5 linked regions of the Macaca fascicularis genome follow. The protein of the gene in region 5 interacts with the protein of the main gene of each other region in a pairwise test. Links are inferred from orthologs where the notes say so. Each region holds a gene or a part of one and is shown on either strand. Other genes may lie near its edges.

Region 1 (5,098 bases), on a different chromosome or scaffold from region 5:
ATCCCAGCATCTTGTTTTTGCTAGTCCCAAGAAAAGCATATACCTTCCTTTCTTTTTAGTGGTTTTGCTGCTTATCACTACCAGGAAACAGAGAAAAAACTAACAAAAATAATTGTCAGAGAAGAAACAATGTTCCTGTGATCCCTGGACCACTTCGGATTCCTTTCTAAGACAGTAAATGGGAACCCTAATGGACCTACACCTAGTGCTTTTATTACCTGAGGGTGGAACTAACCAACTACTCTGCCCTCTAAGCCTATATTTAAGGCAAATCTTATAAGCTACTCTTCCCAGCTTCAAGCTGGATTTGAGTCAAGATACCACTCAGCCTGAAAAATCAGTGCTCTGTAAACTCAGGCAGTCAGGTAGCAACTCTGAGGCTGTCCAGACTGAGAGGAACTTTAGTTAGCTTGCTAAGCTTCTGCCCAGGTATTTCCTCACCCTCTGAACTAGACCAATTCCTTGTGGGCAAGACCTTGGTTCAATTCATCTTTATACCCCCACCATCAGACAGTGGCATAAAACAAATTTCCATTTAATGAATGGGTCTATAGAATCAAAGCAATGAGTGCCAAATACGTGGTTTAGACAATAGTTAGGAATGGGCCCAAAGTTAACGATACAGAATAAAAAGCAAATGATGTAGAATACGGACAAAATCAAGTACAGTGGTCTAGATCTGAAAACCATGTTTAACTACGTCAGGACTGCAGTTTTTGTGAAAGCATCTTAGGGTTTTACATATCAATAGGATCACTGGCAATGCAATCTAAGGACTTGATAGGTCTACCCCCTCTCCACAAAAGCAATTATAATCAAAGGTTTCATTCAGAGAAGTTGAGTCCATACAGTAACGGAGATTAGAGCTAATCTTTAATATGAGCCCATTAGATTATATACTACTGTACTCAGCTCCAGCCACTGGACTTCTGGAAGAATTCTGGCAAACTGGAACATGTCCTTAAGAGCAATGTGGTAAAGAGTGCAGATTAGTAAAGAGAGCAATGTGATAAAGACTCCAAATATGCAGCAATGGCCTAAAAACTGCAGAATTTCTGAATGAAAAACAACATAAAAAAATAAAACTAGGGGCAGGAGTGCTGTTTTCAATTGCTAATTTCAAATGAAAGAAAGCTTGTTTTTCTTCTTCCTGCAATGCTAGAGGGTAGATGTTAAAAGATTCTGGCTCAATATAATAGTTAATAATTCAAAGTGATTAAAATGACCCAGGTTCTTCAATCATAGAAGAGCTAAGATAAAAAAGTGGACAAGTTTAATTTTTCTCACAAGGTGCTTGAACCAAGGTTACACAACAAACCTGGGATAGCCCTTCCTTTCCTGTTGTCTTGGGCATTACTTAATCTCAGAGTCTCCTTTTCCTTATCTGTAAAAGGAGATAACAAGATCCCCTTCACAGAGTTGTTAGAGTAGAAATAACATATGAGGCTGGGGGTGGTGGCTCCCGCCTGTAATCTCAGCACTTTGGGAGGCCAAGGTGGGTGGATCTCTTGAGTCCAGGAATTGGACATCAGCCTGGGCAACATGGTGAAACCCTGTCTCTACAAAAAATACAAAAAAATTAGCCAGGCAGGGTGGCACATGCTTGTAGTCCCAGCTACTCTGGAGGCTGAGATGGTAGGATTGCTGGTGCCCGGGAGGTTGAGTGGGCAGTGAGCTGTGATCACACCACTGCACTCCAGCCAGGGTGACACAGTGAGACCCTGGCTCAAAAAACATATATATATGAAAAGTACCTAGCAAGATCCCTGTGGAAGTCCATTATTACCATTCTTACTGCAGACCCCCAAATGATTTAGGTAGGCCTGAGCTAGATGACCCATAAGATGTCTTCTTAGGATGAAATTTGGTTTGTGCAAATCAGTGGAGGAAGGGGTATAAAGGTTCCAGAAAGCTCCACTGAGGCAGGATGTGGATCTGGAACTAGGTGTTGCAGGGTTTACGATAGAGATGAAATGGGACGGCAGTGTGGGAGAGGTTCGTAGAGGGATAGGCTCAGTTAAACCTAAGGATAGAGAAGAGGTCGGGCAAAGACTTTCTCAAGTAGCAGAGACCTCTCAGCAACCAGCAAACATGCCTGAGGACCTACCTGCCTGGAGTGTTGGAAATCCAGTACTCTTTGAATTTGCACAGTACTCTCTGCATTGGAAAAACCCTAATTTCCCATCAAAAGCACAAGATCACAACCTAAACTAATAGTAGTTCCACTTTACGTTTATATCTCAGTAGTTAGCAATGTTTCACAAATATCTTTAAGCATTGCTGAGTGTGATTTGACCCTTATCACACCCCGCTGTGGCAGCAGGGTACTAACCACTAACGTGGTTTGAGAAACAATGGCTCAGAGACTGGGTAACTTTTCCACAGTCAAACAGCTGGTAAGTGGTGAATCTGGGACTACAAATCCAGGCTTTCAGATGAAGAGGCAGATTTACTAGACTACTGGAACAGAGGTAGGAACATATTCTACCTCAAGATACAATCCTTGGAGGGGAATAAGTAAAAATACTTCTGCATTTTCCCTCTGTACCTCCAAACTGTTTGATGCTGAAACTAGAAACCGGAGCGGGCAAGAGAGGGCGACAAGTATACCCAAGTCTTGGCGAGTGTGTTGGAAGACGGGAACGGGAGTGGGAGGAGAAAGAAAGTAGGAAGAGTCTCAGGAAGATGCTAATTCCTAAGCCAGCCTTCCACCGCGTCGAGGGCAGCCGCCACATTACCTCATTGCATCCTCCAAACTCTACGACAAAGGGTGTTACCGTCCCCACTCTGCAGATGAGAAAACTGAGGCTCAGAGGGGAGAGGGAGTGTGTGGGGAAAGCTGGATTCAGAGACAGCGCGGCCAGACTGCGGAAACACCCAAACCGCCGAGGTCCCCACCCCTCCACGTCGTCGGCAATCCGCATCCACCGGGGCGGGGCGTCCGAAAATCTCCCCCTACCGGGCGGCACAGCCACCCCTCCCCCGGGCTCAGCTCTTCGCCCTCGGTTCGGACGGCCCTGGGGTCTCCGGGACCCCGGGATCCATCGCTCCCCAGCCCCCTCCTCCCCGCCAGCCCAGGCCAGGTCCGGCCGCAGCCTGATCCCGGCAGGGAAGCCGGGGCCGCCGGGTTTGCGCCGCCCTAGCCCCAGTGGGGGCGGGCGCGGGGGAACTGTTGGGGGAAGGGGCCCCGGGGGCGGCCACGAGCCACTCACGCGTCGAACTTGTTGTTCATCCTCTCGCCGCGGCTGTCGCCACTGCCTCAGGGAGTGACTTCCGCTCCACCGGGTCCCTCAGCCTTAGGCCCGGGTACTTCCGGTTTTGCGCGGGGCACAGCGGAACGTCCACGCGCAGGCCCGGTTTGGGGGCGTCTATCTCGGGACGCCAGCCCAGGGCGGCTGCGCAGAGGGTTGGCCTCAGCGGCGGAGCTGGCTTCAGGTCTCAGCTTTGTCGCCGTCCAGGTCCTGTGACCTGCCCGCTCTCCTAAGGGAGCGTGTCCAGGCGCCCTCCTGCAGCGCCTCCGAAAAAAGGCAGCACCGCGTCGTTGACAGCGCGGGCTCTGGACTCGCTGCCTGGTAAAAACCCTCCTCCTCCTCCAGTGCCGGACGCACTCTCCGGTATCTCTCTTAACCTTCCCGAGGCTTTCCTTTGGCGGCAGCGCCACTATACTATGGCATACCTCGTTTTATTGCGCTTCGCAGATAGGACTTTCTAAAAACAAATTGAGGGTTTGTGGCAGCCCTGAGTCCAGCAATTGTATTAGCGCCATTTTTCCAACAGCATGTGTTCACTTCGTGTCTCTGTGTTACATTTTGGTAATTCTCAAAATATTTCAAACTTTTCATGATTTCTGTGTCTGTTATGGTGATCTATGATCAGTGATCTTTGATGTTGCTATTGTTTTGGGGTGCCACATACAGCGTCTTTTATAAGACCGCGAACTTAATGTTGTGTGTGTTCTGACTGCTCCACCCACAGATTGTTCCCCATCTTTCTCCCTCTTCTTGGGCCTCTCTATTCCCTGAGACACAACAATATTGAGATTAGGCGAATTAATAACTCTGCAATGGCCTCTAAGTGCTCAAGTGAAAGGAAGAGTCGCACGTCTCTCACTTTAAATCAAAAACTAGAAATGATTAAACTCAGTGAGGAAGGTATGTCAAAAGCCGATATAGGCCGAAGGCTAGGCCTCCTGCGGCAAACAGTTAGCCAAGTTGTAAATGCAAAGGAAAAGTTCTTGAAGGAAGTTAAAAGTGCTACTCCAATGAACACACGAATGATAAGAAAGCGAAACAGCCTTATTGCTGATATGGAGAAAGTTTTAGTGGTCTGGATAGAAGATCAGACCAGCCACAACATTCCCTTAAGCCAAAGCCTAATCCAGAACAAGGCCCTAACTCTCTTCAACTCTATGAAAGCTGAGAGAGGTGTGGAAGCCGCAGAAGAAAAGTTTGAAGCTAGCAGAGGTTGGTTCATGAGGTTTAAGGAAAGAAGCCGTTTCCACAACATAAAAGCACAGGGTGAAGCAGCTAGTGCTGATGTAGAAGCTGCAGCAAGTTATCCAGAAGCTTTGGCTAAGATCATTGATGAAGGTGGCTACACTAAACAACAGATTTTCAATGTAGATGAAACAGCCTTCTGTTGGAAGAAGATGCCATCTAGGACTTTCATAGCTAGAGAGGAGAAGTCAGTGCCTGGCTTCAAAGCTTCAAAGGACAGGCTGACTCTCTTGTTGGGGGCTAATGCAGCTGGTGACTTTAAGTTGAAGCCAATGCTTTGTTTACCATTCTGAAAATCCTAGGGCCCTTAAGAATTATACTAAATCTACTCTACCTGTGCTATATAAATGGAACAGCAAAGCCCGGATGACAGCACATCTGTTTACAGTGTGGTTTACTGAATACTTTAAACCCACTGTTGAGACCTACTGCTCAGAAAAGAAGATTCCTTTCAAAATATTACTGCTCATTGACAATGCCCCTAGTCATCCAAGAGCTCTGATGGAGATATACAAGGAGATTAATGTTGTTTTCATGCCCGCTAACACAACATCCATTCTGCAGCCCATGGATCAAGGAGTAATTTCGACCTTCAAGTCTTA
Region 2 (5,081 bases), on a different chromosome or scaffold from region 5:
AGAACTGTATCCAAATCAGATTAAGTTGAGAGACAGCGAACTGCTAAACACCTCCCCACAACTCTAATGGACCTGAGACCCCGAGTAGAGAAACCCGGCCGTACATCACACTCAGGCTCCCTTCTCTCCCAACTACTCACAGGTACAAGAGGCATAAAAAGAACTTCCCCACCCTCGCCAAGAGTAGCGCGGAAAAAAACTCACACTGGCCTGGGCCACGCTGGCGAAGCCGCCTGACTCCCCCCGCGCGGCCAGGAACCCTGAAATGACTGCCCCGCTCCTCAGGACGGGGAAGGGGTAGCCGGGGGACCGAGGCTCGACTGGGAGGACCCGCCGGCCGTCGAGGCCCTACGTGCCCACCCGGCCCGGGGGCTTGGGCCCGCGTCGCCCACTCTGGGCCCAGGCCTGGTACCCCGCGAGGCTCGTCGCGAGCCCAGACCCCGGTCCAACTCCGCGCCCGGCGAGACCCGCACACCCCACTGAGCCACCGCGGCTGCCGCCGTACGGACCCAACCCCTAGCTACCTGTCTTCGTTCTTGTTTTTCTGTTTCTTCCCCATTGCTTGTCAACGGCGCTCGTGGCCCCAGCTCCTCTATCCGTTCTCTCACAGACCCACTGTCTCCCAGCTGACTTTGGTCTCCGCTCAGCTCCTTTCCCCCCGGACTGCCGCCGCTCGCACCCGGCTCTCCACAGACCCGCGCACTGGAACAGGGCACATATGGTGTGAGTTCTCAGTGCGCAAGCGCATCGCCCCGCCGCCTCGGCGTGAGGACGCAGGGCGCGGCTCATCGAGAGCTGCGCTTCGGGTAGAGCGTCTCCGGTTGACCCGCCGGCCAGGCAGGAGCCCGAGCGCCCCCTGCCCGCAAGCGTCCGCCGCGAGCCGACGCCCGCGCGGTTTCCAGGTTCTAGAACCCGGAGGTGGACAATGCAGCTGTCAATTCCCCACCTCAGCCCTCTCCCAACGGGGAACGCACGCTTCGGTTCAGGAGTAGGCTTTGGGCTTCCCTTTATATCTTTGTATTCTCAGCCGCACGAAGTTCAGTAAAGAACCACAACTAACTAATAATGAGTCCTCTGGGGTTTGCGAGAGAGGTAAATCCAGGACAAAATAGGGACCTCTCAGTAACATCCGTGCGTTATGCATTATGTACAGTCACTGAATAAAACAGAGAACAGGACACACCCGATCAATTCCCTAACATAGGTCTTCATCTTTACCCTCAAAGCGAGGGCGAGTTCTAAACATTCCTGTGTTTAGAAGAGTCAAGAGGGAACCTACAGGGGTGGTGGAAAATGTTCTGTATCTGGATATGGCCGGTGATATTTTGGGTTTTAACTATGGAAAAGTTAATCGTGCTGTATATGTTTATGCCTCGACTTTAAGAAGAAGAAAAATGTTAAAAGAAAACAAAACACAAAACAAAAAAAAAGAAAAATGTTTATTCAACACTAACAGAATGGTAACGCAGTTCAGGCGTCACTGCTGAGCGAGAGCACAGCTGTCTCATTTCCAGTCTCGCGCACTGGACCGTGAGTACCGAAGCACGGTCCAGAAAAAGTCCGGCCACGCCAGCCTGCGCACTAAGAAACTGCAACTCCCACCATGCCTTGCGGCCTTCCAGTTCGGCCGTGTACCGGGAGGAAAGCAAGGGTCAGACACCTCCGGTTACGGGCTGCTGGGCGGGAGGCGCACGCGCAGGATTGTCCGGCAGCCGCCCGCCCGCCCCTTCCTCTGGCGTCCAAGGTGATATCGCGAGAGGTCCGCAGCCAATAGGGAGGCTGATGTGACGGCCGGTTTGCAGCCGCCGGCAGCTACTGCAAGGCAAAAGCCGGAGTGGACCTCTCTTTTGAAACTGCTGCTGTCTCACTTCTCAGACGTCACCGAGAGCTCAGGTGAGGCAGAGGGTAGTGAGAAAAATCCGACTACCACGTCCGCGTGCTGGTGAACATGTTACTGCTCCACATCCGGAGCGGAGGAGGGGCGCCGCCCCAGCACCGGTGTCGGGGTCCTGGTGGAGGCTCTTGCGCATGCGCACCAGGAGGCGTCGAAGTTGAGGCAGCCGGGACTGTGCCTTCCTGTGTCTCCCCGGGCTCAGGGAGTGGCCGGGATGCCACTCGGGAGGTACCTGGGGTTCGGTTAAGGACCAGGCCCCTTGATTGTTTTGGTGGATACCTGTAAGGGTGTCCAGGAAATGACTAGGGAATTTGAGGACGCGCGGTGTCCCGTCCCACCGTTCCTGCGGAGCTGTAAAAAGGAAGAATCAGAGGCTGTGATTTGAAGGATGAAAAGCTAACGGGGGATTGCATCGTCTCTTTACCCCGTTCTCAATGCTCTAACCACCAACACCTACACCCAGAATAGCGCTTCTTAATCGCATCTGTTTCCAGTTATCCCATAATTAAATTCTGGCCTCATCCTATAAAATTGCAGGGATAAGCATTCTCTGTGCTTATCCCTGGAGCACAGCTTCCAACGTGCAATTCAGTATCTTATTTTCTCCTTCCAGCTTCCTCACCGAGGGTCACAGTACTACTGACATTTTTCTTGGGTGGTAGGGAGTGTGGAAATCTTTGCTGTGTTTGAAATACAGCACCTTTCCAATTTTATAGCACTCACGAGGAGCTTACAATTTGTTTTTTTAAACTCAAATACTTTTGAAACTTAGCAGTGTAGTAATTTGAATGGAAGTTAGGCACGTGTTCATTCAAGGTTAAATACATGTGTATTGAGTACCTGCTGTGTTCTATGGAGATACAAAGATGAAATCAAGTATCCTTTTCAAATGCTTTTCCTGTAAAGAAAAAGGAATCAGAACTGAAGTTTGCAAGAATATTTCTCTTCAGCTCAACGTTGATAGAGGGCCCGTGTGGGTCAGGATCTGTGTCAGAAGCTGAGTGAATGAATTCACAGTTTATTATCAAGTTTGGGGTGCTTAGGTATTATTTGCAAATGTATCATAGTTTATTGACATGCAACAGTCTCCTGCTTTAATAGCCAAATTATAAATCATTTCTGCAGTAATAATCCTGAGATACACATAAAATTGCCGTCTAATTGTTGGTATAAAATTTCTCGTACAAAATACTCCATTGTTTTAAAAATATGTAGTCATGTGCCACATAAGGACATTTCAGTTTTATGAGATTATAATACTGTATTTATTGTACCTTTTCTGTGTTTAGATACGTAAATGCCATTATGTTACAGTTGCCTGCAGTATTCAATACAGTAACATGCTGTACAGATTTGTACTAGGAGTAATAGGCTGTATGGTATAGCCGAGGTGTGTAGCAGGCTGTACCATCTGGGTTTGTGTAAATACAGTCTATAATGTTTGAAACAGTATCAGAATCACCTAATGACACATTTCTCAGAATGTATTCCCATTTTTTGTGGGTTTTTGGGTTTTGTTTTTTGAGACAGGGTCTGGCTCTGTCGCCCAGGGTGGAGTGCAAGTGGTGCGACCTCAACCCACTGCAACCTCCGCTTCCTAAGTTCAAGCTATCCTCCTCCCACCTCAGCCTCCCTAGTAGCTCGGACTACCGCCACACACCACCAGGCCTGGCTAATTTTTCAATTTGTAGTAGAGACAGGGTTTCATCATGTTCCCAGGCTGGTCTCAAACTCCTGAACTCAAGTGATCTGCCCACCTTGGCCTCCCAAAGTGCTGGGATTATGGACGTGAGCCATAGCGCCCAGCCTAGAATGTATTCCCATTGTTAAGTAATGCATGACTCTAATTGAGATGGGTCTTTGTTTCTAATCTGAATGAGTTCTATTTTGAAACTCTTTGTACAGAGGAGTGATGATGGAAAAAAAAACCCAAAGTTTTAAAAAGTATTTGGAGTGTTTTACATCAAAGTTAAGAACACTGTCAGTAAATGGAAACCAGTATTAATTTTTGTGGCCTCAGATTTTTTTTTTTGTTAGGTAATGGGAGAACGGGAATGGACATTAATGCTTAGGGAACACCAGGCACTGTTCTTTACATAAGTGGTAATAAGACGTCTTAGGAGTTAAATGAAGCTCATTTGGGCAGCAGCCATGAAAAAATGTGTTTTGCTCAACTCTATTCTGTGTGTTTCAGTAAGGTTAAATATATATATATATATATATGTGTGTGTGTGTAAAACCTCAGTAGGTATACCTTTCTATTGTTGACAGTTGTTTCTGACTTCTCTTACCCATTGGTAAAGAACACTGATTATCAGTATATATCACTAGGTATAACTTCACAACTCATTTATCTGTGGTTTGGTGATGGTCTTAAAGACTTGCCTTGGCTTTAGTGTAGTAGAACGTACGCTAAATCAGAAGCACCCTAAATTTGCTATAAGTGGTTTTTGAGTGGTGTGACTAGAACCTATTGAAAATTAAATTTAAAAACACATAAAAATTCTTAAGCCCAACATCAGGGGCTTGGATGTCTTTAGAATACTCCATAGAGTACACATACACGTGCCAGAATTTTTGAAAACAGTAGAGAAAGCCGGGCGCAGTGGCTCACGCCTGTAATCCCAGCACTGGGAGGCCGAGGCGGGCGGATCACAAGGTCAGGAGATTGAGACCATCCTGGCTAACACAGTGAAACCCCGTCTCTACTAAAAATACAAAAAAATTAGCCGGGCGCGGTGGTGGGCGCCTGTAGTCCCAGCTACTCAGGAGGCTGAGGCAGGAGAATGGCGTGAACCCGGGAGGCGGAGCTTGCAGTGAGCCGAGATCGCGCCACTGCACTCCAGCCAGGGGGACAGAGCGAGACTCCATCTCAAAAAAAAAAAGAAAATGGTAGAGAAAAGCTGGCTTATTGTTTGCATTTTTTAAAATATAGTTTGTAAATCTCCCCAGCACCCAGGCTGAACTTTGCACCATTCGGCAGAATGGAAGCTGATGCATCTGTTGACATGTTTTCCAAAGTCCTGGAGAATCAGCTGCTTCAGACAACCAAACTAGTGGAAGAACATTTGGATTCTGAAATTCAAAAACTGGATCAGATGGATGAGGATGAATTGGAACGCCTGAAAGAAAAGAGACTTGAGGCCCTAAGGAAAGCTCAACAGCAGAAACAAGTAACCTCTCTGCT
Region 3 (4,917 bases), on a different chromosome or scaffold from region 5:
CCGGTTTCAAGCAATTCTCCTGCCTCAGCCTCTTGAGTAGCTGAGATTACAGGCGACTGCCACCACGTCTGGCTAATTTTTGTATATTTAGTAGCGATGGGGTTTCACCATGTGGACCAGGCTGCTCTTGAACTTCTGACCTCAGGTGATCCACCCGCCTCAGCCTCCCAAAGTGCTGGGATTACAGATGTGAGCCACCGCACCCGGCCTTGTGAAGCATCTTTTAAAATGTTTTCTCCATTCTCTAGACTGTTTCTTATTGAGTGTTGAGAGTTCTTTATACATTCTGAATACACGTTTCTTTATCATATATGTGTTTTGTGAATATTTTCTTCTAGACTGTGGCTTACCTTTTGTTTTTCTTAATAACACGTGAAGTAACATTTATGGGAGACCATTGTTTTGGAGCAAGCTCCTGCACAAGGTACCAACGGACCAGACCAAACCAGAATGGAACCGCTAGTGCAAGGTGCCACGTAATCAAAGCGAACTTAGAGACAGGCCAGTGTGCCAAAACACAAAAGATTCACTGCAACCAACAGAAGGGGCCCTGTCCACCTAGGCTGGCATAAGGAAGCCCCCTCTCCTTTAACCCATACAAAGAAACGCATCTGAAATAACCTGATGCCAACCAATCGCTTTGTGCACTACGCTGTTTCCTTGTTCCTGCTCAAGCTACCTTACAAAACCCGGCTGCTGTGCCACGCCTGTCGGGGTATCTCCCCAGTTCACACATGGGGGGGGGGCCCTTTCCGGCCGCCTGCTGGCGCCCTCATGCAGACGCCGGGGCTTCCTTGACCCGTACGGCTCGCGCGGCTGTGGGCAGCTTTCTGGCCTGTTGAGAAGCCCGAGCCGTCTGCGCGTGCGCGAGACCCGGGCCTGGCCTGCCTCTGGCCGCCCATAGTGCTCCCGTCCTCCGCTCCACAACCGGATTCCGACGGCGAGCGCGCTGTGCCTTGGACCCGGGAAGGCCGGCTTCCTAAGTATAGTGCATTCTTTGTTTTTTTTTTTTTTTGAGACAGAGTCTCGTTCTGTCGCCAGGCCGGAGTGGAGTGCAGTGGCGTGATCTCGGCTCACTGCAACCTCCACCTCCCGGGTTCAAGTAATTCTTCTGCCTCAGCCTCCCGAGTAGCTGGGATTACAGGTGTGCGCCACACACTTGGCTAATTTTTGTATTTTTTGGTAGAGACGGGGGTTTCGCCATGTTGGCCAGGTTGGTCTCTAACTCCTGACCTGAAGTGTCAGCCCGCCTCGGCATCCCAAAGTGCTGGGATTATGGGCGTGAGCCATCGCGCCCGGCCGAGTATCGTGCATTCTTTATAGAAATGAGGGGGAAATAAGCATTATGGGAAGCGCCTAGCGCAATGTCAAGCACATAGTAGGTACTTAGAGTCTGTCAGCCAGCGCGAAACGTCCGCAAAGCGTTTAAACACAGGCCCAGAAGCCGGGGAGCTTGCAGCCCCCATAGAAGCTGGGATCACCACGCCCTCTGCCCTAGACGTCTCAGGAGCGCCCTCTGCCCGCCCGCTCTCCCTGTACGCGTGCACGAACCGCGGCGCCTTCGCTTCCCTTCTTATTTGTCCCTGACCGTGCGCCGTCCAAGGGTCCTTTGGTTGCCATAGAGACCGGCGAGCGCTGGGCCTGTGAGCGCTGAGGGGCGAGCAGCTGCCACCCTGGGCTTCTGGGGACCTGAGCGTCATGTCTTTCCGCGACCTCCGCAGTAAGGCAGCCCCGCGCCCCTGTGACCTGCAGGTCTTCCAGAGAGTCAGGTCTCCCGCCTGCCGGGTCCCCTATGTAGGCGACCCCTGAGGTTTGCGCTGCCAGAGCCTCCTTTCGGGCCTCTGCGCCTCAAGGAACGCCTCTGACCCGCGGCTGCAACCCCGCCCAGTGCCCCAGGCCCTTCTTAGGCCATTTCTAGCGAGGATGTAAAGTTCTTTATCTGCCACTGGCCGCGTTTGGCTCAAAGCGCTCGAAATGTGGCTAGTGCAGATGAATAACTGAAATTTTAAGTGTAACTCATTTCTATTTGTGTAGCTGCATGCCGCTGTTAGCTACAGTATTGGAAAATGCATGGATAATTTAGAGACAATTTTTTGAGTTGGGTTTGCTTAGCTCTTAGAAAACCGGGCTTGGTGGCTCACGCCTGTAATCTCAGCACTTTGGGAGGCCGGGGCGGGCGAATCACCTGAGGTCGGGAGTTCGAGACCAGCCTGACCAACATGAAGAAACCCCGTCTCTACTAAAATTACAAAATTAGCCGGGGGGTGGTGGCGGGCGCCTGTAATCCCAGCTACTCGGGAGGCTGAAGCAGGAGAATCGCTTGAACCCGGGAGGAGGAGGTTGCGGTGAGTCGAGATCGGACCATTGCACTCCAGCCTGGGGGACAAGAGCGAAACTCCATCTCAAGCAACAAACGAACAAACAAAAACAAAAAACCCCAAACCAAACCAAAACAAAAAAACAGCAGCGAAACCGAGGAGAGGGGCTGGGTGATGATCATTGCAGCTAACATTTTTTGAGTTTTAACGATGTGCCAGGGCCCACTCTGTGTTATGTGCATTTCATTTTAATCATCTGAACAACTGTACCGCCTGCATCTGGAAGTGAGGAAACGGGCACAGAGAGGTCAGGTAACTTGAGCAGGTGACACAGGCGATAGGAGGTGGCACTGGGGATTGAATTCAGGTTGCCTGAACTCCAGACCTCCTGAACTCCGTCTGCATCCTTTCTGCAGGGCTGGTGAGGAGAAGGGAGCTCGAATTCCTTTGCTAAGAGGGTGGGGAAGTGGAAGAATGAGGCTAAGAGTGTTGGTTACGACGGGGCACAGTGGCTCACGCCTGTAATCCCAGCACTTTGGAAGACTGAGGCAGGCGGATCACTGAAGTTCAGGAATTCAAGACTAGCCTGGCCAACATGGTGAAACCCCGCCTTTGCTAAAAATTCAAAAAATTAGGGCATGGTGGCGCACACCTGTGGTCCCAGCTACTCGGGAAGCTGAGGCAGGAGAATTGCTTGATCCCTGGAGGCAGAAGTTGCAGTGAGCTGAGATCATACCACTGCTCTCCATCCTGGGCGACAGAGTGGAACTGTCTTTAAAAAAAAAAAAAAGGAATAGTAGATGATTGCCAATTTGGTGTGATCTTAGGGGTCTCTTAAAGAGTCAATTTTCTCAGCAAATTGCTGGTGCCTGAAATTTTAGCATTAGAGATTACTCCTTTGGTTATGAATTGCTCTTTTCTACAATATAAAAATATCTAGGAGGCCGGGCGCGGTGGCTCACACCTGTAATCCCAGCACTTTGGGAGGCCAAGGCGGGCGGATCACAAGGTCAGGAGATCGAGACCACGGTGAAACCCCGTCTCTACTAAAAATACAAAAAATTAGCCGGGCGCGGTTGTGGGCGCCTGTAGTCCCAGCTACTCGGGAGGCTGAGGCAGGAGAATGGCGTGAATCCGGGAGGCGGAGCTTGCAGTGAGCCGAGATCGCGCCACTGCACTCCAGCCTGGGCGACAGAGCGAGACTCCGTCTCAAAAAAAAAAAAAAAAAAAAAAAATATCTAGGAAAACGCATTACCTTTTATTCATGCAGCCACTGAGCACCAGAGTGTGAATCCTGTCCTCTGGAGTTTGAAGGTTTTTGGTGGCCACACATCATACAGGATGAGTGTCTCCTCCCACATAGTTTTTAGAGAGGCCAGCACCCTGCCAGGGGACGTAGAATGGGGTTTTGTTGGGAAGACCATACACGGAGATTTCAAAATATTTTGACCTTAAATTAATGCTCTGCAGTTGTGCGTTGTATGGTAAGGATCTTACTCAAATTAGTCTCTATTTTGACAATAACACTGCAACATTAACAGAACTTGACTAGTACCTAGTAGTCAGAAGTATTTAGGCAGTGCCTTACTGTGTGAAGGAAAGGCTGTTCTCTTGCCCAGACTGGAGTGCAATGGTGTGATCTTGGCTCACTGCAACTTCTGCCTCCCAGGTTCAAGTGATTCTCCTGCCCCAGTCTCTTCAATATCTGGAATTATAGGTGCCCGCCACCACGCCCACCTAACTTTTGTATTTTTGTTTTTATTTATTTATTTATTTTTGAGATGGAATCTTGCTCTGTCGCCCAGGCTGGAGTGCAGTGATGCAATCTCGGCTCACTACAAGCTCCGCCTCCCGGGTTCACGCCATTCTCCTGCCTCAGCCTCCCGAGTAGCTGGGACTACAGGTGCCTGCCACCACACCTGACTAATTTTTTTGTATTTTTAGTAGAGACGGGGTTTCACCGTGGTAGCCAGGACGGTCTCGATCTCCTGACCTCATGATCCGCCCGCCTCGGCCTCCCAAAGTGCTGGGATTACAGGCGTGAGCCACGGTGCCCAGCAACTTTTGTATTTTTAGTAGAGGTGGGGTTTCACCATTTTAGCCAGGCTGGTCTTGAACTCCTGACCTCAGGTGATCTACCCTCCTCGGCTCCCAAAGTGCTGAGATTACAGGCATGAACCACCCGCGCCTGGCCTTTTTTTGTTTTTCTTTCTGAGACAGGGTCTCACTCTGTTACCCAGGCTGAAGTGCAGTCACATGATCTCAGCTCACTGCAACCTCCTGGGCTCAGGTGATCCTCACACCTCAGCCTGCTGAATAACTGGGACCACAGGCATGCACCACCACACCCAGCTATTTTTTTTTTAATCTCCATATTCACATTTCCCAGAAAACAGTTACAGAGTCCCTTTTGTGACTTTGCTGTTTCCTGTGCTCACACTTTTTCTTCCATTGTCTTGCGAAGTCTGACCTGACTTCCAGTACCGGGGTAGGTTATTTGTGAACACTGATGGACCATTTTGAACATGGATCTTCAAGAAGAGTGCAGACAGACCTTAAATAACCAGGAAGCACACTGAATGTAAATCTTGGTACATCA
Region 4 (4,499 bases), on a different chromosome or scaffold from region 5:
GGGCTGCCCTGCCTGGGCTGCTCGGAGCGGCTCCTCTGTAGGGCAGGGCCTGACCTCACACCCCACGCCCCAGTGGCTTCAGCTCCCTGCCCAGCGCACGGGCTACCTCCATCGGGGCACTTAAGCAGGGTCAAGGTTTGCGCCGACTCCGTCTCCCAGAAATCAACATGGACCAGGTCCGCTTAAAAAATACGCATTAGAGAGGCCGGGCGCGGTGGCTCAAGCCTGTAATCCCAGCACTTTGGGAGGCCGAGACGGGCGGATCACGAGGTCAGGAGATCGAGACCATCCTGGCAAACACGGTGAAACCCCGTCTCTACTAAAATACAAAAAAAAATTAGCCGGGCGAGGTGGCGGGCGCCTGTACTCCCAGCTACTCGGGAGGCTGAGGCAGGAGAATGGCGTGAACCTGGGAGGCGGGGCTTGCAGTGAGCTGAGATCCGGCCACTGGACTCCAGCCTGGGCAACAGAGCCAGACTCTGTCACAAAAAAAAAAAAAAAAAATACGCATTAGTTGTAGACAGACGTCTCGTCCATAGGTCCCCAGACTGTGTGTCCACAACGCAGGGCTTCTCTTTGTGGGCCTGAAAGAGCACACGTCAGGCAAGACACGACGGCAACTGCGGAGACACTGTTTTCAGGGCCAAGGAGAATTCTCGGAGTCTGTGAGTTGCCTCCAAAACAGCCCCCAGGACACGCAGTCCCAGAGACACCGCAAAGCTCGAAACAGACATTTCATTCCTCCCCATTTCCACTCCCAGAAAACGACTGGGCCCTTGAAAGAGCTCCAAGGTATCCCCAAAGTCCCAGCCAGTCTTTGGAGGGTTTCCGAGGGCTGTCCAGGGTTCCAGAAGTCATCCTACCTCATACAATGCTCCTCCTGGGCTTCCCGCACTGGGGAACCCCACGGCTCCAGAACAACTGCCCTTTCCAACTTGCAGAGCACCTCAAGGACCTAAAGATCTCCCCGGGGGAGGGCTCCAAAATATAGAGTTTGCATCGTGAACTCCCACCTCTGTAAAGCCCAGGACTCCAGTCCTCGCACCCCTCTGTCTCCCAGAGATCCCCAGGGGTCCAGAAATACCACCTCACTGCCTTCCAAGCTTCCCAAGGATCCGGAGACTCCTTATCTCGCAGCACAAACCTCAGGCAACTACAGGTCCTCCCTGCACCTCTGAGTTGCCCCTCCCCCCACTCAAGATTCCAGAAAAATCCATGCCCTCCAAAACCCCAGAATCTGACTTACTTTCCCGAGGCACCCCCAGGACCCCAGGGTCATCAGTTCACAGGACTCTTAATGCTCCCATAAAACTATAGTCTCCCAGAGGAACCCCAGCCCCCACCCCCCACCCCCCCGCCCACGAAACCCTCCATTCCTCGAATCGGCCCCAGGGCCCCAACCCCCGCAAGCCCCCATTTCACAACACACTCGCGCTGCAGGCGCGTGACTTCCCCCTGCTTTGGGGCGGGGGCTGAGACTCCTGTGTGCTCCGGATTGGTCAGGCACGGACTTCGGCCCCGCCTCCTGCCACCGCAGATTGGCCGATAGCCCGCTCCGAGCGCCCCGCCTCCGAGGGCCAGCGCACTATAAAAGAAGCCGCCCTAGCCACGTCCCCTGGCAGTTCGGCGGTCCCGCGGGTCTGTCTCTTGCTTCAACAGTGTTTGGACGGAACAGATCCGGGGACTCTTTCTTCCAGCCTCCGACCGCCCTCCGATTTCCTCTCCACTTGCAACCTCCGGGACCATCTTCTCGGCCATCTCCTGCTTCTGGGACCTGCCAGCACCGTTTTTGTGGTTAGCTCCGTCTTGCCGACCAACCATGAGCTCCCAGATTCGTCAGAATTATTCCACCGACGTGGAGGCAGCCGTCAACAGCCTGGTCAATATGTACCTGCAGGCCTCCTACACCTACCTCTCTCTGGTGAGTCCCCAGGACGCCCCTGGCCCTAATTTCCCCCAGCTGCGCACGTTCGGCCCTCAGCGCAGGCGCCGGCCTTCTTTGTCCGGTCGAGTAAACAGAGGGCAGAGTCCCCCTTGGCCTCGCCTCCCGCTAAGCGTTGTTCCCTCCATCTCTTTCCTTAGGGCTTCTATTTCGACCGCGATGATGTGGCTCTGGAAGGCGTGAGCCACTTCTTCCGCGAATTGGCCGAGGAGAAGCGCGAGGGCTACGAGCGTCTCCTGAAGATGCAAAACCAGCGTGGCGGCCGCGCTCTTTTTCAGGACGTCAAGGTAACTAGTGTGTGGGTAGGGTAACGGACTACATCTCCCAGCAGGCCGTGCGCGCGAGGAGCCTTGATTTGAGGGCTTAGATGTCGCGTGGGCTTCGGGGAGATTGAGTTCGGTCTTGTGAGCCCTTTTACGGCTGGAAATAGAGGCGCACGTCGTGCAGTGCCCCCAGGACGCGGCAGTCCACACTGCTGCGTAGACGTAAGGACGTGTAGCTGTAAGAGCTAGGACGGGGTGCGGAGAGTGATAAATACAAGCTGTCACATGTCTTTGTGGCCTGGGCCTCTGACCCCCACCAACTCTTGGGAAATGTAGGTTTAGTTCCATGTGCCGAGTGTGTGTATTCTGAAGCCGTTTCTCCCTTCTGTATAGAAGCCAGCTGAAGATGAGTGGGGTAAAACCCCGGATGCCATGAAAGCCGCCATGGCCCTGGAGAAAAAACTGAATCAGGCCCTTTTGGATCTTCATGCCCTGGGTTCTGCCCACACGGATCCCCATGTACGTACCCCCTGCATCCATGGCTACCCAACCATACCCCTCAAGCCTTTGCTCTCTTTGGGCAAATTCCCTTCAGAGCCTCATTTAACACCTGTCATATTTTAATCTGCAACTGGCAGCTCTTTCTCCCTCTTTTCCAGGGATCGGGTTTCCTTTTTTTTTTTTTTGAGACGGAGTCTCACTCTGTCGCCCAGGCTGGAGTGCAGTGGCCGGATCTCGACTCACTGCAAGCTCCGCCTCCCAGGTTCACGCCATTCTCCTGCCTCAGCCTCCCAAGTAGCTGGGACTACAGGCACCCGCCACCTCGCCCAGCTAGTTTTTTGTATTTTTTTTTTTTTTAAGTAGAGACTGGGTTTCACCGTGTTAGCCAGGATGGTCTCGATCTCCTGACCTCGTGATCCGCCCGTCTCGGCCTCCCAAAGTGCTGGGATTACAGGCTTGAGCCACCGCGCCCGGCAGGGATCGGGTTTCTAATTTCTCCCTCTTCTCTCTCAGCTCTGTGACTTCCTGGAGACTCACTTCCTAGATGAGGAAGTGAAGCTCATCAAAAAGATGGGTGACCACCTGACCAACCTCAACAGGCTGGCCGGCCCGGAGGCTGGGCTGGGCGAGTATCTCTTCGAAAGGCTCACTCTCAAGCACGACTAAGAGCTTTCTGAGCCCAGCGACTTCTGAAGGGCCCCTTGCAAAATAATAGGGCTTCTGCCTAAGCCTCTCCCTCCAGCCACTAGGCAGCTTTCTTAACGACCCTAACAAGCCTTGGACCAAATGGAAATAAAGCTTTTTGATGCAGTTGGTGGTTTTGTGTGTGGTATGGAAGATGAGGTGGGATCTGTTCTCATAAAGCTTCTGGCTGGGTTGGGGATGCCAGTGAAAGAGGAGTTGGCCCCATCTCCCATTTTCTTATCTCTTCTAAGACAAGAAGCTATCTGGGTAGTGTTGAACTTGAGGGTTCTCTGCTTGCCTGGCTGTTAACTGTCCCTCCCAGATGGCAGAGATAGCCTCCAGGGAGTTGAATTAAGACCTAGGTTGGTACCTGGACACAGATCTGTTCGGTTTCAGCCAGAAACAGCACTATTTAACGAGTGATTATGAGGCCAGGTGGGCCGATCAGCTGATGTCAGGAGTTCGAGACCAGCCTGACCAACATGGAGAAACCCCGCCTCTACTAAAAATACAAAATTAGCCGGGTGTGGTGGTGCATGCCTGTAATCCCAGCTAGTCAGGAGGTTGAGGCAGGAGAATCGCTGGAACCTGGGAGGCGGAGGTTGCGGTGAGCTGAGATCAACGTCATTGCGCTCCAGCCTGGGCAACAACAGCGAAACTCTGGTCTCAAAAAAAACCCAAAAACCATATCTGCCTCACGGAGGTTGCAGTGAGCTGATATCGCGCCAATGTGCTCCAGACAGGGCAATGGAGTGAGACTGTCTCAAAAAAAAAAAAAAAAAAACAAACCTCAATTCTGGGAGGCAGCTGAAATTATTAGGCCCTTTATATGGGCACATTGAGGCTATTGCTGTGCAACTTGCATGGCAACCAGGAGGCTCACTGAGGTCTTTGCTCCAGAGTTTACAGATTATGGCCCAAGCTTCAGTAATCCCAATGTGAGGCGCACACTGAGAGGAACTGACAGGCGGAGCTGAGCGGCCAGGCACACGTGATGCCCAAGCAATGCTGGACAAGGGGTTTAGGGTTCATCATAGAAATGGGATGTGAAACTTTGGGCCAGATTCTCCAAGTGGGAACTGAAAAAGCTGAAAACAGGCCTTAAAAAG
Region 5 (5,054 bases):
TATGAGCCACCACACCCAGTCTATGCTGCTACTTTCTATCATGCTGGTAAGGCCAAGAACAGAATTAAGACCTCACTGTTCTCCCTCAACATGCTTAGGGCTCTTTTATTGTTCAGCTATGTTCCCTCCTTCCCCCCGTTTCCTATCCCAAAAGGACATCAGAATTCTCCTGGCTCCCTGCTGTGAACAATGAGAGGAAGGAACACTGGTTCTTCACATGCTGCACAGATCTCATCTCCCTTGTAATCTCCCCTGAGTCCCCAGCAGAGTTCCCCTTCCTCTCATTGTCCTTGCCACCGGCTTGAACTTGTCATTTTGATCTGTCATAGGATGAGGAGCAGGACAGATCAGACTTGGTCTATGGGGCCTAAGGGAAAAAACTAGGAACAAAGGGTAAAAGATAGAGGGAGAAGATTGCAGCTCAAAGCTGCACGTCAATGGAACGGGCTGTCTCCTGACGTGAGCAGAAGCTGAACAGTGGTTGCCTGGGAGGAGATTCGGTCATCAGGGGCTAGGTAGAAAGAGGTGACCACCATTGTCTACCAGATGGTAAGGTCAAGGGCAGGGACCCTGTCTGGGGTGTCCCTATAATCCCCAGCCCTAAGACTGAGCCTTGTTCACTGCTGGTGTCTGAGGTCTGCCCACTGCATTGGAAAGAATTTGTCCTCTCAGACCCTGAGGCACCTACTGAGAGGTGACCATGGCCTGAGAGGCCCGAAGATTATACAGTCCCTGCTCCACCTGACATTTGAGACCTGCATGATACATGTAAAATTGATGGCTCAGATGAAGAGGCAGAACAACCAAGCCCGATGGCCAAGGAGAGAAGAGATTTAAACTGAGTTTGAAGGGCTCTGTTTTTTCTCCTTTTTCACCCCCATCCACAGTAATGAGTCAGGAAAATTCTGGTGTTGGAAAAAGAGTTGAGGAGGTAACATAGAAGGACAGATCAATGGTCCGGAGTGAGACAGGGAGGAGACAGGGAGCTTAGTACATCTTGACCTTGCGGCTCTGGGGAAGGTGGCACGTGTAAGCTGTAAATTCTAATCTCTGCTCTGACCACGGCCGCTGTATTAAAGAGAAAATTTCTCTTGACCCCTGCCAAGAAAACCAAAACCCAAATAATTTCTCTTGCCTCAACTTACCCCCCATCACATGAGACCTAAGAGAACATACAGGTCAGAGCTGCTTGGGAACCCCAAAAGTGGAATCTATTAGCTGCTCTGAGTCTTGATCCCTTTTATCCCCGGATACTGAGTGCCCATGAATGCCCAGAATCTGAAGCAGTCCCATTCTTTCGGGAGGGAGGTCTTTAAGAGTCTCATCGACTGATGTAGTGTGGTTAAGGTGCTGTCAGGAAGCAGGGAGATGGATAAGTTGGCTCTTAAGGCCTCTTCCAGCCTAAGCCTACCCTTCCTTGTTCCCTCCTCCCCCTACACCCACCAGCTTCTTGGGGACTAGCAAGGAGAGAGCAGGCAGGCCGCCCAGCTAGGAGTAATTGAAAGGAGCAGATGAGAGGGGAATGTGTCCTCCCCCAATGCCCCTGCCCCACAGGGGCTGCTGAGAAATGAAAACTAATCAAATTACACCCGACGGCCTCCCGACCCGTGCACAGGAGCCCGCCTGGGCCAGGGACAGGCTGGCTGGGTGGGGTGGGGGCCATGGGGGAGAGAGAAGGGGAATCACATCTAATCCACTGTAAACGTCTTGATGTGCAGCAACAGCTTAGAGGGGGCTCAGGTTTCTGTGGCGTTGGCTATATTTATCTCTGGTTCCATGCCAGCGGGGAGGGTTTAAATGGCACCCAGCAGTTGGCGTGAGGGGCTGCAGGAGCTTGGGGTCTGGTGGCAGGAACAAGCCTTTTCTGACCCCATGGAGCTGTATGAGACATCCCCCTACTTCTACCAGGAACCCCGCTTCTATGACGGGGAAAACTACCTGCCTGTCCACCTCCAGGGCTTCGAGCCACCAGGCTATGAGCGGACGGAGCTCACCCTGAGCCCCGAGACCCCAGGGCCCCTCGAAGACAAGGGGCTGGGCACCCCCGAGCACTGTCCGGGCCAGTGCCTTCCGTGGGCGTGTAAGGTGTGTAAGAGGAAGTCGGTGTCCGTGGACCGGCGGCGGGCGGCCACACTGAGGGAGAAGCGCAGGCTCAAGAAGGTGAATGAGGCCTTCGAGGCCCTGAAGAGGAGCACCCTGCTCAACCCCAACCAGCGGCTGCCCAAGGTGGAGATCCTGCGCAGCGCCATCCAATACATCGAGCGCCTCCAGACCCTGCTCAGCTCCCTCAACCAGGAGGAGCGTGACCTCCGCTACCGGGGCGGGGGTGGGCCCCAGCCAGGGGTAAGTGGCCATCCCGTCCCCCTGCCCCAGGGGGAGGGGGCCAGAGGGAGGCACCTGGACAGCCTCAAGACCCCAAGAGGGGCTCAGAGGGTTGGAGCAGGTGCCAGACAGGGTCGAGGGGCTTCAGGAGCCCTTCCCTGGTCAGAGCTGGGCTATCCAGCTGACCCCCTGTGTCCTGTGTTCTTTCCAGAGGAGATAGAGGCAGTGAGGAGGAAGTGCAGAAAGGGTGGGGGTGGGGAACACAGGACTGAAGAAAGGATCAGGAGCAAGGCCACAGTCAGCCCGGGTAAGGGTGAGGATTAATCGCAGAGCCTGAGTCAGAGCCTAAAAAGCCAGGCCAAGTTCACCAGAGAAGGCTGCTTTGCCCCCTGCCCCACCCCCATCCTGGGTGTGGCTGAGCAGAGAGAAAACCCACTCAGTCTCATTGGAACTCCAGCAGGCCTGCACAGAGTGACCTTCACTGGGCCAGAAAATCTGTCTCCATCACCCTTATCACCAGAGTCAGGAGAACCAGGGACCTTTAACCTGGGGTCCTGTGAGGGCAGAACCACCACTCAGGATGGAAGCCAAGAAGGCCTGGAAGCAGGGCCTCTAGGACATGAGAGGAGCTGGTTACTAAGATTCTGGGGTTGGGGATGGCCTGGGCTGGAAGGCCACAGCCTGTGGCCCACCCTCCAACCCCACCACAGGTGCTTCTGCCCACTGGGACTAGGCAGAGAGACACATCAAAGAACGGCTGTGCCCCGACCTTGGGCCTTCGCCCTGTCTTGCAGGTGCCCAGCGAATGCAGCTCTCACAGCGCCTCCTGCAGTCCAGAGTGGGGCAGCGCACTGGAGTTCGGCGCCAACCCCGGGGGTAAGTGAGGCTTGACCCTGGTAACCTTGACTCCAATCCCTCAGTCCCTCCCTGGGCGTTCTTCCCTCTTACCTTATTCCTTGCTCCGGTCCTCTTCCCTTGGGTCTCTCCAGGGACCTGCTGACTCCAGGACCCAAAGGGTGGGCTGGGAGGTTCTGTGTAGCCCTGCAGTCTTGACCAGCAAAGGAGTGATAGTGGCTCCTGCAGCTCCCCAGCTGATGCCTGGTGGTTGACCTTCTCCACAGAGAGGACAATGTCCCTGCCCCAGGGGTCTCTGCGAAGTGCTGAGTCAGTGCTGCAAAACCGGGCCGAGCAAAGGGCAGGTCCAGTCTCTGGGGAGCTCCATCCTGCTCCAACTTGAGTGACTGCTTCCAAACCCTACCTCACTAGGGGAGTTCAGAGAAGAGGCGCGCGCGCGCACACACACACACACACACACACACACACACACACACACACAGCATGGGGAAAGGCAGGGACTAGGGAGTAGAACTCCGGAGCTTTATCCCCCATCTGTCCTGGAAAACCTGTGTCACCCCAAGGGTCCCATCCTCTATTCTGGGCCTCAAGAACCCCCACTCCTCACCCAGGTACCACCTTCCCACCTCCCCTTACAGATCATCTGCTCACGGCTGACCCTACAGATGCCCACAACCTGCACTCCCTCACCTCCATCGTGGACAGCATCACAGTGGAAGATGTGTCTGTGGCCTTCCCAGATGAAACCATGCCCAACTGAGATTGTCTGCCAAGCCAGGCATCCTTGCAAGCCCCCCAAGCTGACCACAGATGCCACTGCTTCTGTAGCAGGGGCCTCCTAAGCCAGGCTGCCCTGATGCTAGGAAGCCAGCTCTGGGGTGCCATAGGCCAGACTATCCCCTTCCTCATCCATGTAAGGTTAACCCACCCCCCAGCAAGGTACTGGATGCCCTCATTCAGCTGCCTCCTTAGAGGACAGGGCATCCCCTTTCCAGGAAGGTAAAGCAGGGGACCAGAGCGCCCCCTCATGTATGCCCCAGTTCAGGGGGCAAACTCAGGAGTTTCCTTTTTATCATAACATGGCCTCTAATTCCACCCCCTAAGTGAAACAGTTTGAGAGACACAGACAGTGTCCTGACCTGGACAAGCTGTGCACGTCTCCTGTTCTGGTCTCTTCCCGATGCCAGTGGCTGGGCTGGGCCTGCCCTGAATTGAGAGAAAAGAAAGGGAGAGAAACAATCCTCTGTTCCCAAGTCCCTGGGGGGCCAAACTTTTGCAGTGAATATTGGGAACCTTCCAGTGGTTTTATGTTTTGTTTTGTTTTGTGTGTTGTTTGTAAAGCTGCCATCTGACCAAGGTCTCCTGTGCTGAAGTTGCCGGGGACAGGCAGGGAAAGGGGGTTGGGGGCTCTTGGGGGTGATTTCTTTTGTTAACTAAGCATCGTGTGGTTTTGCCATTGTTTTGTATTTTTTTTTTTTTTTTTGCTAACTTATTTGGATTTCCTTTTTTAAAAAATGAATAAAGACTGGTTGCCAGAAGAGTGTCGGTGATGATGCAGAGGGAGGGAAATGACTGACAGCCCTGCCCTCTCCCACTGAGCAGTCCAGACACACCCTAGTGGGCGGGGCTCCACAGCGCTGAGGGCCTCATCTTGCTGGTGGTCACTAGGCACTGGGGACCCCGGCTCTTTTCACCATGAGGAAGGAAGTCGAGCATGTCTAGACCTCAGTCTAGGTGGAGACCAGATTCCACAGACATCCTTGTGGGACACGGAGGACAACTGGCTAGGACTATACTTCACAGCCATTGCTCACAGGCTGCTGTGCTCTGCGTCATGTCCCAACAGGTCCTCCGGTTTCAGTTAACTGAGCAATTCG

Evidence for each region.
Region 1: the proteins of MYOG (region 5) and EIF4E2 interact in binary tests that used the Homo sapiens proteins (3 or more experiments, as listed by UniProt). The two-hybrid records come from large-scale screens. The link is inferred for Macaca fascicularis from reciprocal best matches to the Homo sapiens genes MYOG and EIF4E2.
Region 2: the proteins of MYOG (region 5) and TXNDC9 interact in binary tests that used the Homo sapiens proteins (3 or more experiments, as listed by UniProt). The two-hybrid records come from large-scale screens. The link is inferred for Macaca fascicularis from reciprocal best matches to the Homo sapiens genes MYOG and TXNDC9.
Region 3: the proteins of MYOG (region 5) and CLUAP1 interact in binary tests that used the Homo sapiens proteins (3 or more experiments, as listed by UniProt). The two-hybrid records come from large-scale screens. The link is inferred for Macaca fascicularis from reciprocal best matches to the Homo sapiens genes MYOG and CLUAP1.
Region 4: the proteins of MYOG (region 5) and FTL interact in binary tests that used the Homo sapiens proteins (3 or more experiments, as listed by UniProt). The two-hybrid records come from large-scale screens. The link is inferred for Macaca fascicularis from reciprocal best matches to the Homo sapiens genes MYOG and FTL.

What each region holds. Positions count from the first base shown.
Region 1 is NC_088386.1:128,466,008-128,471,105, reverse strand, and holds the start of EIF4E2 (eukaryotic translation initiation factor 4E type 2), read right to left. Parts: upstream 3,284-5,098; 5' UTR 3,233-3,283; coding exon 3,213-3,232; intron 2,891-3,212; exon of another isoform or gene 2,744-2,890; coding exon of another isoform or gene 2,739-2,743; intron 1-2,738. UniProt on the Homo sapiens protein: Recognizes and binds the 7-methylguanosine-containing mRNA cap during an early step in the initiation. Acts as a repressor of translation initiation.
Region 2 is NC_088387.1:3,828,728-3,833,808, reverse strand, and holds the start of TXNDC9 (thioredoxin domain-containing protein 9), read left to right. Parts: upstream 1-1,798; 5' UTR 1,799-1,893; intron 1,894-2,026; exon of another isoform or gene 2,027-2,122; intron 2,123-4,846; 5' UTR 4,847-4,878; coding exon 4,879-5,067; intron 5,068-5,081. Other genes in the region: EIF5B (eukaryotic translation initiation factor 5B), read right to left, coding at 525-559. UniProt on the Homo sapiens protein: Significantly diminishes the chaperonin TCP1 complex ATPase activity, thus negatively impacts protein folding, including that of actin or tubulin.
Region 3 is NC_088394.1:4,273,932-4,278,848, forward strand, and holds the start of CLUAP1 (clusterin-associated protein 1), read left to right. Parts: upstream 1-1,634; 5' UTR 1,635-1,698; coding exon 1,699-1,720; exon of another isoform or gene 1,721-2,345; intron 2,346-4,917. UniProt on the Homo sapiens protein: Required for cilia biogenesis. Appears to function within the multiple intraflagellar transport complex B (IFT-B). Key regulator of hedgehog signaling.
Region 4 is NC_088393.1:56,947,570-56,952,068, forward strand, and holds FTL (ferritin light chain), read left to right. Parts: upstream 1-1,617; 5' UTR 1,618-1,819; coding exon 1,820-1,921; intron 1,922-2,082; coding exon 2,083-2,229; intron 2,230-2,598; coding exon 2,599-2,724; intron 2,725-3,219; coding exon 3,220-3,372; 3' UTR 3,373-3,516; downstream 3,517-4,499. Other genes in the region: apoptosis regulator BAX, read left to right, coding at 540-959.
Region 5 is NC_088375.1:60,895,987-60,901,040, reverse strand, and holds MYOG (myogenin), read left to right. Parts: upstream 1-1,820; 5' UTR 1,821-1,872; coding exon 1,873-2,343; intron 2,344-3,116; coding exon 3,117-3,198; intron 3,199-3,270; exon of another isoform or gene 3,271-3,441; intron 3,442-3,788; coding exon 3,789-3,937; 3' UTR 3,938-4,712; downstream 4,713-5,054. UniProt on the Homo sapiens protein: Acts as a transcriptional activator that promotes transcription of muscle-specific target genes and plays a role in muscle differentiation, cell cycle exit and muscle atrophy.